Linked DNA regions of Solanum lycopersicum. The protein of the gene in region 2 binds, or shares a complex with, the protein of the main gene of each other region. Links are inferred from orthologs where the notes say so. Each region holds a gene or a part of one and is shown on either strand. Other genes may lie near its edges.

What was found. The genes of interacting proteins can lie anywhere in the genome.
Region 1: the proteins of glutaredoxin (region 2) and protein BOLA2 are in contact, whole or in part, in an NMR structure (PDB 2MMA), measured with the Arabidopsis thaliana proteins. The link is inferred for Solanum lycopersicum from reciprocal best matches to the Arabidopsis thaliana genes CXIP1 and AT5G09830. Residues at the interface, in NP_191050.1 of Arabidopsis thaliana: Lys130, Ser133, Asn134, Trp135, Pro136, Thr137, Glu146, Phe147, Phe148, Asp152, Ile153, Glu156, Ala157, Thr160, Glu162, Glu165, Glu166; in NP_568217.1 of Arabidopsis thaliana: Arg46, Leu47, Leu48, Arg50, His51, Arg52, Asn55, Met62, Ile65, His66, Ala67, Leu68, Ser69, Ile70, Lys71, Gln74, Gln78.

The regions. Positions count from the first base shown.
Region 1 is NC_090810.1:868,487-872,774, reverse strand, and holds the start of protein BOLA2, read left to right. Parts: upstream 1-1,447; 5' UTR 1,448-1,846; coding exon 1,847-1,906; intron 1,907-4,288. Other genes in the region: sm-like protein LSM3A, read left to right, coding at 844-924. UniProt on the Arabidopsis thaliana protein: May act either alone or in interaction with glutaredoxin as a redox-regulated transcriptional regulator, or as a factor regulating Fe-S cluster biogenesis. The GRXS17-BOLA2 heterodimer binds a labile, oxygen sensitive iron-sulfur cluster.
Region 2 is NC_090801.1:62,097,837-62,102,179, forward strand, and holds the start of glutaredoxin, read left to right. Parts: upstream 1-1,432; 5' UTR 1,433-1,542; coding exon 1,543-1,747; intron 1,748-2,833; coding exon 2,834-3,103; intron 3,104-4,343. Other genes in the region: uncharacterized protein, read left to right, coding at 97-177, 259-352, 673-854. UniProt on the Arabidopsis thaliana protein: May only reduce GSH-thiol disulfides, but not protein disulfides. Probably involved in the regulation of the redox state of the BOLA proteins. May act as Fe-S cluster donors to Fe-S cluster-requiring proteins.

The sequences.
Region 1 (4,288 bases), on a different chromosome or scaffold from region 2:
GACTATAGCTAGTGCTATGTACAATTAGCTGGCTTTGACGGCCACCTACTCTACGTCAATAGGACTTCACTTTAGAATTATCCCAACTTCTAAGTGAGCTTTTATCTATCAGCAGATAATGTTGTTGTTATTTTTTTTGACAAATATGTCTTTGTTTCTCTCGTATTTTGTTTCATTTCTCCCTCAATAGTGTTCAGTGGTGATGCTCAAAAAATATACCAAGGGACATCTGCTTTTCGCTTATGTGATACCCCCTTAGAAGATTAGGTGCTCCTTTTCCATCTGAAGTTTCGAGAAGTTTCTTCTCGTATTTTCACTTGTAGTGGAATCAGGGGTGTATCCTAAGAAGGAGGGGTGTCAATTCACGTGTGTTTCAATGTACAACTCCCAATCTTCCAAGGTCCATCTTGTGTTCCAATTTAAAGCATTGTTTTCTTTTTCTTACTTGGTTTTATTCTTTCAAAATTCCCAAGTTTTAACATATTGAAATCTCTATTTTCCTTGTATAGTTGTGAAATTTTATAATTAAGGCAAATGTCTATATTAAATCTAGTCATAGTGGAGGATGTCACATATATTCAATGGGTTTAACTAATCATAGATCTTTGTGAAGAATTACTAAAATTTAAAAACAAATCGAACATTGGTTCAACTTATCCCAAAACCTATCAAATTTAAACCCTGGATTCGCTATTGATCATAGTGGTTGATATCCTAGATTGGCCCCATGAGTAGAATGTATTTATTAGAATTGCTTTTTGCAAGAGTTGTTGTGTGTTGAGGAATGGTTTTCTAATGATTGTAAAAGCAGCTGACATTGGTTCTCTGTTGATTGTGTTTTAGGCGACGAGACGGACCATCCCGTTCCTATTTGTTCGTGGAGATGGTGTGATTCTGGTGTCTCCTCCACTCCGGACTACTTGATGAGGAGAGGCATCGTGGTGTATGAAAATCTGCAAGCACGCTATATTTTGTTTAAGGTGCTGCAGTAGACTATTGTAGGTGGTCTGTGATTTTGTCTAGTACATGTGTTTTGCAAAGCACAAGATTAGTAATGTTGAAATCCTATAGCATTGGATATTTGTGAACCGTGCTGCTTCTGTTTACTTAACTCTAGAATGAGACAAGAAGTGTCTGTTTGGATTGGCTTATGGCTGTCAAAAGCCATAATTTGTGATTTTTAACAAACACCATGAAAGTGCTTTAAAATACAATTTTTTTTATTCAAATATTATGAAAGTGAAAAATATAAGTTAATCCAAGTAGACTGGGTATTCTTATTCGAATTTTATAGGATTATATGCCATATTGTTGTCGTCAAATATTCCCTATTCCACTTATGTTGCCATTTTTCACCCATCGCCAATTCAACTTTTTCTTCTTGAAAAATTATTTGAACATGGAATTTGTATAATTTTCCATTTTAAATTTCTAAAAACTTCAAAACTGTTTTTACACAAAAAAATAGACTTCAATTTGTGTTCATAAATCTTAATTTTCAAGTATCAACTTAGAAATTATTCCAGAGAAAAAAAGTACTCCTTAGTTGCAAGCAATTTATGTGATACATTTTTTATTTCGAGATTCAAACAAATTTAATTTTTTATCATAGACATTATATATATATATATCAATTATTTTGACTTGTAGTGTTTTTTAAATCTAATTTAGAAATACATAATAATATAAAGATTTTATGAGCAAATATTGGGTCAACCCGTCTTGAAAAATAAAATGTAGAAATTGGGATTCGTATATAAAAATTGTAAAAACCTAGGAAGAGAAGAATTGTATTTGGGGCATTTTGGCAGCAAATAACAAAGAAAAAAAAGAGTATTCTCGAAAGATGAAGATGAAGGAGCAAGTAGAATCTTCACTAAGGGCAAAGCTTAACCCTTCTCATCTGGTAAATTCTCTCAAATATACACATATCTGTTGTTAACTTGATGAGTTTGTGTTCGTTTAATTTGTTCATAGCAAATCTAAACCAAATAGGTTTATCAGGATTTTAGATTTTGTTAAACCTTGTCAGTTGCAATTGTTAAAATTAACTGACAAAGGAAAATAAGTGATAAACATTGGGAAATCTCCCAAATGCTGAAATTTTGGTTGTTATGAATTAATAGGTCAAAAAACACATCTTTAAGTTTTACATTTTAATTTATTAAAAGCAAAATTCTAACTTCAAATCTGCCTTGATTGGATTGTTTCACTATGAAGATGATATTAGTTGGATTTGGCACTATGTAAAACAACTCTGAGTTAGCTACTCCTTAAGAACGAAGGCTGAAAATTTAAAGAAGTCAAGTAGGTGTCACCTACGTAAAAATGAAGGGCCAAAGATAAAAAAGTAGGTCCATCACCTACTTAAAGGCTTATGGCCCAAAGATACGGACCAAAAGGGGGCTGTCTTGGGTCCGCCCAAGGCCCATCTTTCAAGTCCATTAAGGACTATATAGATGTATAAATAACTCCATGGATTTATTTGCTTGAGCTATGTGCTTCACCGACTTGCTTTGACATCCTAGTTGGTTGATCTAGTTGGTTAGATGTCCTAGTTGCTTAATAAGAGCAACCCACGTGTTTAAGGAAAATTAATGACCTACTAGTCTAAGTATGTGACTAGTAGGTGTATCACCTCTTTAGAACAAAGGGCCAAAATTTAAAGAAGTCAAGTAGATGCATCACCTGCTTAACTCCCTGGTTTATTGGCTTAAGTAGGTGATGCAACTACTTGTCTTATTTACATCTGGAACTTCGTTCTTAAGTAGGCACCTACTAGTTACTTGCTTAGACTAGTAGTTTATTAAATTTCCTTAAGCATGTGAGTCGCCCTTGATTCAAGTAGCTCAAGTTACTAGGATGTCAAATAAGCAACTCAACCAAGTAGGACTTCCAACAAGTAGGTCGTCTAAGCAAATAGCTCACAAGTGGGCCATTTGCGCAAGAAGGTGAAAATGGTACATTCCATGGTACATGTGTTTGAAGTGAGGGAAAGGCGAGTGAGCTATAGTTCTTTTTTTTTCCAGTTTCTCTTTGTATGAGAGAATTTCCTGATGGGAAAAAAAGTGCAAATATACCCAATACGTGTATTTGTGTTATATCCTTCCTCTGTTCACCTTTCGGGTCAAAGGATCCCCCACAATTATCTTTCGTATGAAATGTGCCCCTCCACCTTGAAGAGTTGGTCAGCCACGTAGGGTATATTTGACCTTTTCAGTTGTTTAGGCTTTATAGACTTCTTCAATTGTAAGGGTATATTGGTCTACCTGGCTCTATCGTGAAAAAGATAGAGCCGTGCTGGACAGTCGTAAGAGGGAGGGAAAAATATGGGACGGAATTAGTGATTTGGGGCTTTCATGGACCGGAAAGGGAAGTAAACGCAGGCAAATGTTAGACAAACCTAATAGTCAGTGATAAAGTTGAACCTTTCCTTGATTTTGATCACTAGCCTTAAATTGCCAGTCTTGGAAATGAACAGTGTTAGAACATTTAACATCTAATGATTTTCTAAAAAAGAAGCTAAACTTGTTGAAGTGTTTTTTACAAAGGTGCTTTAATAAGTCCTTATCTCAAGAGCATATACCATCATAGCAAGATTTCAGGTACATCAATGGTTGGGGAAGGAACTTAGGTGATGTTTGGTTGGGAGTAGTGGAGAAAGTGATCTCCACTTATACTTAGTGTTAGTATAATGTTTGGTTTCATTCTTCCTTTCCACATAAAATTTAGGATATTTATAATACAATTTTTGTTTCCACTTCTCTTGTCGCATAACTGATATCCTCTTTAAGTTATGCGGGTATCGATATATTATTTTATGCAAGATAAGAATGCGGGGATAGTATAATATGGAGTAAAATTACGAGATGACAAAAATAACCCTTCACGTGTTATCCAATATTTATTTTGTCAAAAGAATTTAAAAAATATTTTTTAATATGCACTTTAGTATAACAAATCTAACATCCATTGAGTAAATAATCCTTCCACTACAGTTCTTGTATTATAACCTTAACCTTGCATTTCAATCCCTACATTACAATCTCTACATTGCCATCCATGCATTTCTAATTCCCCTGTAACTTGCTTCTAATCCAAACGACCCATTAAAGCATTGTGGTACCTGAGATAGTTGCTCTTTACCCGGAATACATATATGAGCTACCTATTATTTATGTCAATAAGAGATGCTATACTAAGATTTCAGGTACATTAAGGGATAGGTGGAAGAACCTCAAAGCATTGAGGGACCTTAGAGTTTTTCTTTTCCTGGAATACATATATG
Region 2 (4,343 bases):
GCACAGCTAGGTGGACTGGTTTAACTATATGTGGACTATAAGATGTGATATCTTTAGCAAGGGACGTATGCTCAAAACTTATTTTGTGCTGTGTAGGTGAATCCTGATATGGTGCAGCAATTTGAAGATGCTGGCCTTTCTTTCACTGGCAAAGATGAAACTGGTCGTCGCATGGAGGTGAACCTTTGTCTGATTGTATTACGAATTCATGCTAGATACTCGTAGTATTATTGATTTAATTTTCTATTTCTTGTACAGATTGTTGAGCTGCCTAATCATCCGTACTTTATTGGCGTTCAATTTCATCCTGAATTTAAATCAAGGCCAGGAAAACCGTCTGCCGTGTTCTTAGGTATTCCTCCCTGCTTTATCCTTCCGCTCATAGCCAGCTAGAATACCTGATGCTTACTTTGGAACTTTGGAAGTATCATTTCAACATTTGTATTTGCATTTCAATATGTGGCTCGCTTCTAGTTGATCCAGAAAAGTCAATGTATACAATCTTAGATTATTTGATTTGTAGACATAAAACTAACGATTGGTACTTTGAAGGAATTAAGTGAATGAAGGTCTTTTTAACCGTGACGTCCAGCTCCTAATGGTTATGAGTAGTCTCTTGTTTTGAATGTAATGCTCTTCGTTATGATGTGTTATTCCTATTTCTCTGAACAGGGCTTATAGCAGCAGCATGCGGGCAGCTTGATTGTCTCCTGAAGAAGGGTGGAACACCGACTCATGGACTTAGCAATGGTACAGCATCTGGCGAAAAATTGCATCGAAATGGAAATGGAACGACTCTTGCCAATGGATCTTTAGATGGGATTTATCGCAATGGGAATGGTGTACATGTCTAAGGAAACAGTAAAAACACTATTGGGGTCAATGGCCTTGTGATCGATCAAATTTTGCTAGTGCCTTTCTTCCAGTCGATATGTATAGGTTTTACAGCTTCTCTCGTTAAGGCTATCTAGTTATAGAGCTAAATTCCGGTCTTTGTTACGGAGTTGTAGCGGCAGCAAGTTTAATTTAGGCATTTACTTTGAACGATTAAAAAACTCTTTTGATTACCTGCTCCAACATGAAACTTGTGTTTGGTAGTAAAAGATTGGATTGCTCCTAATTCGATCTTTATGAAGTTCTTGAGATGGCATCTCTATCCACTTTAAGTTTTTGTTGATGTTCTCTTTATACCTACCTAAAATTATTTCGCTAAAAGGCTAGGGGAGAAGCCAACTATTTTGTTTGATTTTCCATATAACAATTGCCTTCTAGCAAAAATAGACTTTTAAACAACACTAGTACAAATTTATAAGGAATTATCTTGGGAGTAACGACAAAGAGTATAAAAAATTTAATACGGCAAAATTACAAATGAAGTTAAGTTATCGCATTTTTCTACTATTAAATTGATAATTTACTCTTTTTTTTTTTTGGGTGGGTCTTTGTAAAGTAAATCTACGGTTATGAGCGCTTGACTGTTTAATGGCATAGGGATAGATTAGCGCTGATTCGTGTGAAAGAAGACTTCACAGGAAAGTGAGGATGTCGCTCGGAATTTCGCTTCAATGGCAACTCCCCTCCGTTATCAGGAGTACTACAACCTCGGCAGCTCAACGTACGACCGATGTCTTTCTGTCGTTTCCTACGGTTCATTCCGGTCGTGCTCTTCAGAGCTCGGCCATTCCCAGTAGCTCAATTGCTACCGGCAAACGGGATGGACGGTTAAGATCCCTTCGTTGTCTATCTGGTAAAATTTAATTTCGCATCATCATATATTCCAACTTATAGGGTTTTCAATCGTTCTGTGCTTATTTCTTCCACTGCAATTATTTTAGTACTACTTTCTCTGATTGAAGGACGGAGAAATCTAAACTTTTTTATGGTGTTGGACGTAATTGCTTTCTGCTACGTTAATTAGTTGTATATTAATGCATTTTCTGTTAGTAGTAAGTTATACTATCAGTTTATTGTCATGTCTAAATTATGTTTCTTAAGCAGAATTCGGGGTTGTTTCATTTGACGAAAAAGTGAATCTTTAGATTCAAATTTAGCTGTCTATGATGTAATTCTTATCCTTATTGCAAATTGCAAACAGAGTAAATAGCTGAGTAAGTAAGTTACCCATTATTTTAAGCATCTATCATAGTAGGCCAAGATCCCAAGTAGAAATACTTGGCCAGTTAGACTTAAGTTCTTACCAGTCCTCTATGGGGAGCTTAGTCTCCTAGGTGGAGAGAAAGTTTAAAGTTTTGTGCAAGGTATGTTAGATATGAATAAGTTTGTTGATAGTCTATTTGGTGGTAGAAGCTCACTTAGAATGAAAGACCCTTAATTGCTAGCCGGAGCAATTAATGAGGCAAGACTTAGAGGGAAAAGATCGTATTTGAGGATATTGCAAGTCTATTATGTTGGCATTCTTTGTCGTTACTTAGAAAAGTTGTGATGGCAAGGATGGACTTGTTGAAATAGAAATCTTTGGTAAATTACATCCTATCAATCAGGCTTTTGAAGAATGGATGTTTGCTTGATGGTTTTAAGTAAAGGATACATATAACTGTACTATCTATCAATTTATGCCTACAAAAGAGTGTCAGAGAAATCTTCCCCCAACCTTATGGCTACTCCAGGTTGTGTGCATCTATGTTCTTGTGATGTTATGTTATACAGGGCGTCCTTTTGCTCATTTTGTGTTTATTTATCATTGCATATTTATATATTTCTCTTATTATGCTTGGAATGTACAACTTATGTTTTCATTTAAGAATAGCCGAGGTAGTAAGTCACTCATCTAAGAATTGCTGACATGTGTTTTATTCACTTTCATGTCTTGTAGCTCTGGATCCTAACTTGAAGTCTACGCTGGATAAGGTTGTCACATCACAAAAAATCGTGTTGTTCATGAAGGGGACCAAGGAATTTCCTCAATGCGGATTCTCAAATACAGTGGTTCAGATATTAAAAGCACTAAATGCACCCTTCGAGACACTAAATATCCTTGAAAATGAAGCACTTCGTCAAGGATTGAAGGAGTATTCCAGTTGGCCAACCTTTCCACAACTCTACATTGATGGAGAGTTCTTTGGTGGCTGTGACATTGTTGTAGGTAGGTATACAAATTGATACTTCAATATGCATCAGAACTTTTGAATTATTTGCACCCCTCGACTCTTTATGTGTACCTGCTACCTCCCACCAACACAGTTACAAGTAACTTTGCCCATCAAAGTTGAGGTAGATGGGAAGAGATCATCTAGTGTCTTTTGTGTTTGCCTGGATTCTAATCTTGGTCCCTAAGAACAGTTTTTTGTGTTTTTAGGTTATGTTACCAAACTGGAAGGTGTAGTACATGGTTTATACTTCCTTAGTTGTTTACTATGTTGATGAACTACTGTCAAGTTGAAGTTTTGTTCTTAATATGGTGAATCATCATAACTCTTGAAATTGGGGATTGAGCACTTTGTTGCTGAGAAGAACTGGTATAACTACCATAAATAACTTGGACAGAATGTAGAATTCTCTGTACTCAGTAGTCAATTCAACCTCCTACACCACATAGTTCACCTTGTCGATCATATCTTCTCTTCCCCAAACACGCAACTGCTAAGCTGATCCTTTTTTCCATTCGTTCACATCCTTTGAAGTCTTTAACTGGTTTTTTTAATACCAAGAAATCTGTCTGGATCCTGCCCTTTGGACCAACTGCGGCCTTTGAAAAATGGGGATAGTGGGCCAACCTTAAAATGGCTTCTCTTTTCAATTTTTTTTTAAAAATGTGATGGGTAAGAAAATCTTTGCTACCTCTTGAGTCTTGCATCTAGATTGCTAACCCTATTGTACTTTTATCAAATTGCTCTCTTATTGCCAAGTTCCTCAATGTAAGGTCCCTAATTAGTAATATCTATAAGTTGACTCTATATGAGAACACAACAAAGGGATTGTATCCCAAATGTTCCCTAACTGCCTTTCTAATTAGGAAGGTTTTCCATATGGATGGGCATTCAAGAATTGTCTAGATATGACCTGATTCATTGCAGACATCCAAAGAAAACATATTCTAGATATCTTTGGCTGCCTCATAGTGTAGAAAAAGCTGTTTACTGATTTTGCTCATGGAATGCACATGTAGTTGCCGCTGCTCCACATATTCGCCCTTTTGTTGTTTGATAATCTTGAGTTATTACAAGTTCCATACTATTGTCCACCCAAAGAAGGCTACTTTTATGGCAGATTTTGTCTTCCGGATGAACTTCCACGGAGGTTCAACATTTACCGTCCTGCCTCAATAGTGTACACCGATTAAATGGAAAAGGATTTCACTGGGAAAGACTACCTTTTCCTTCTGT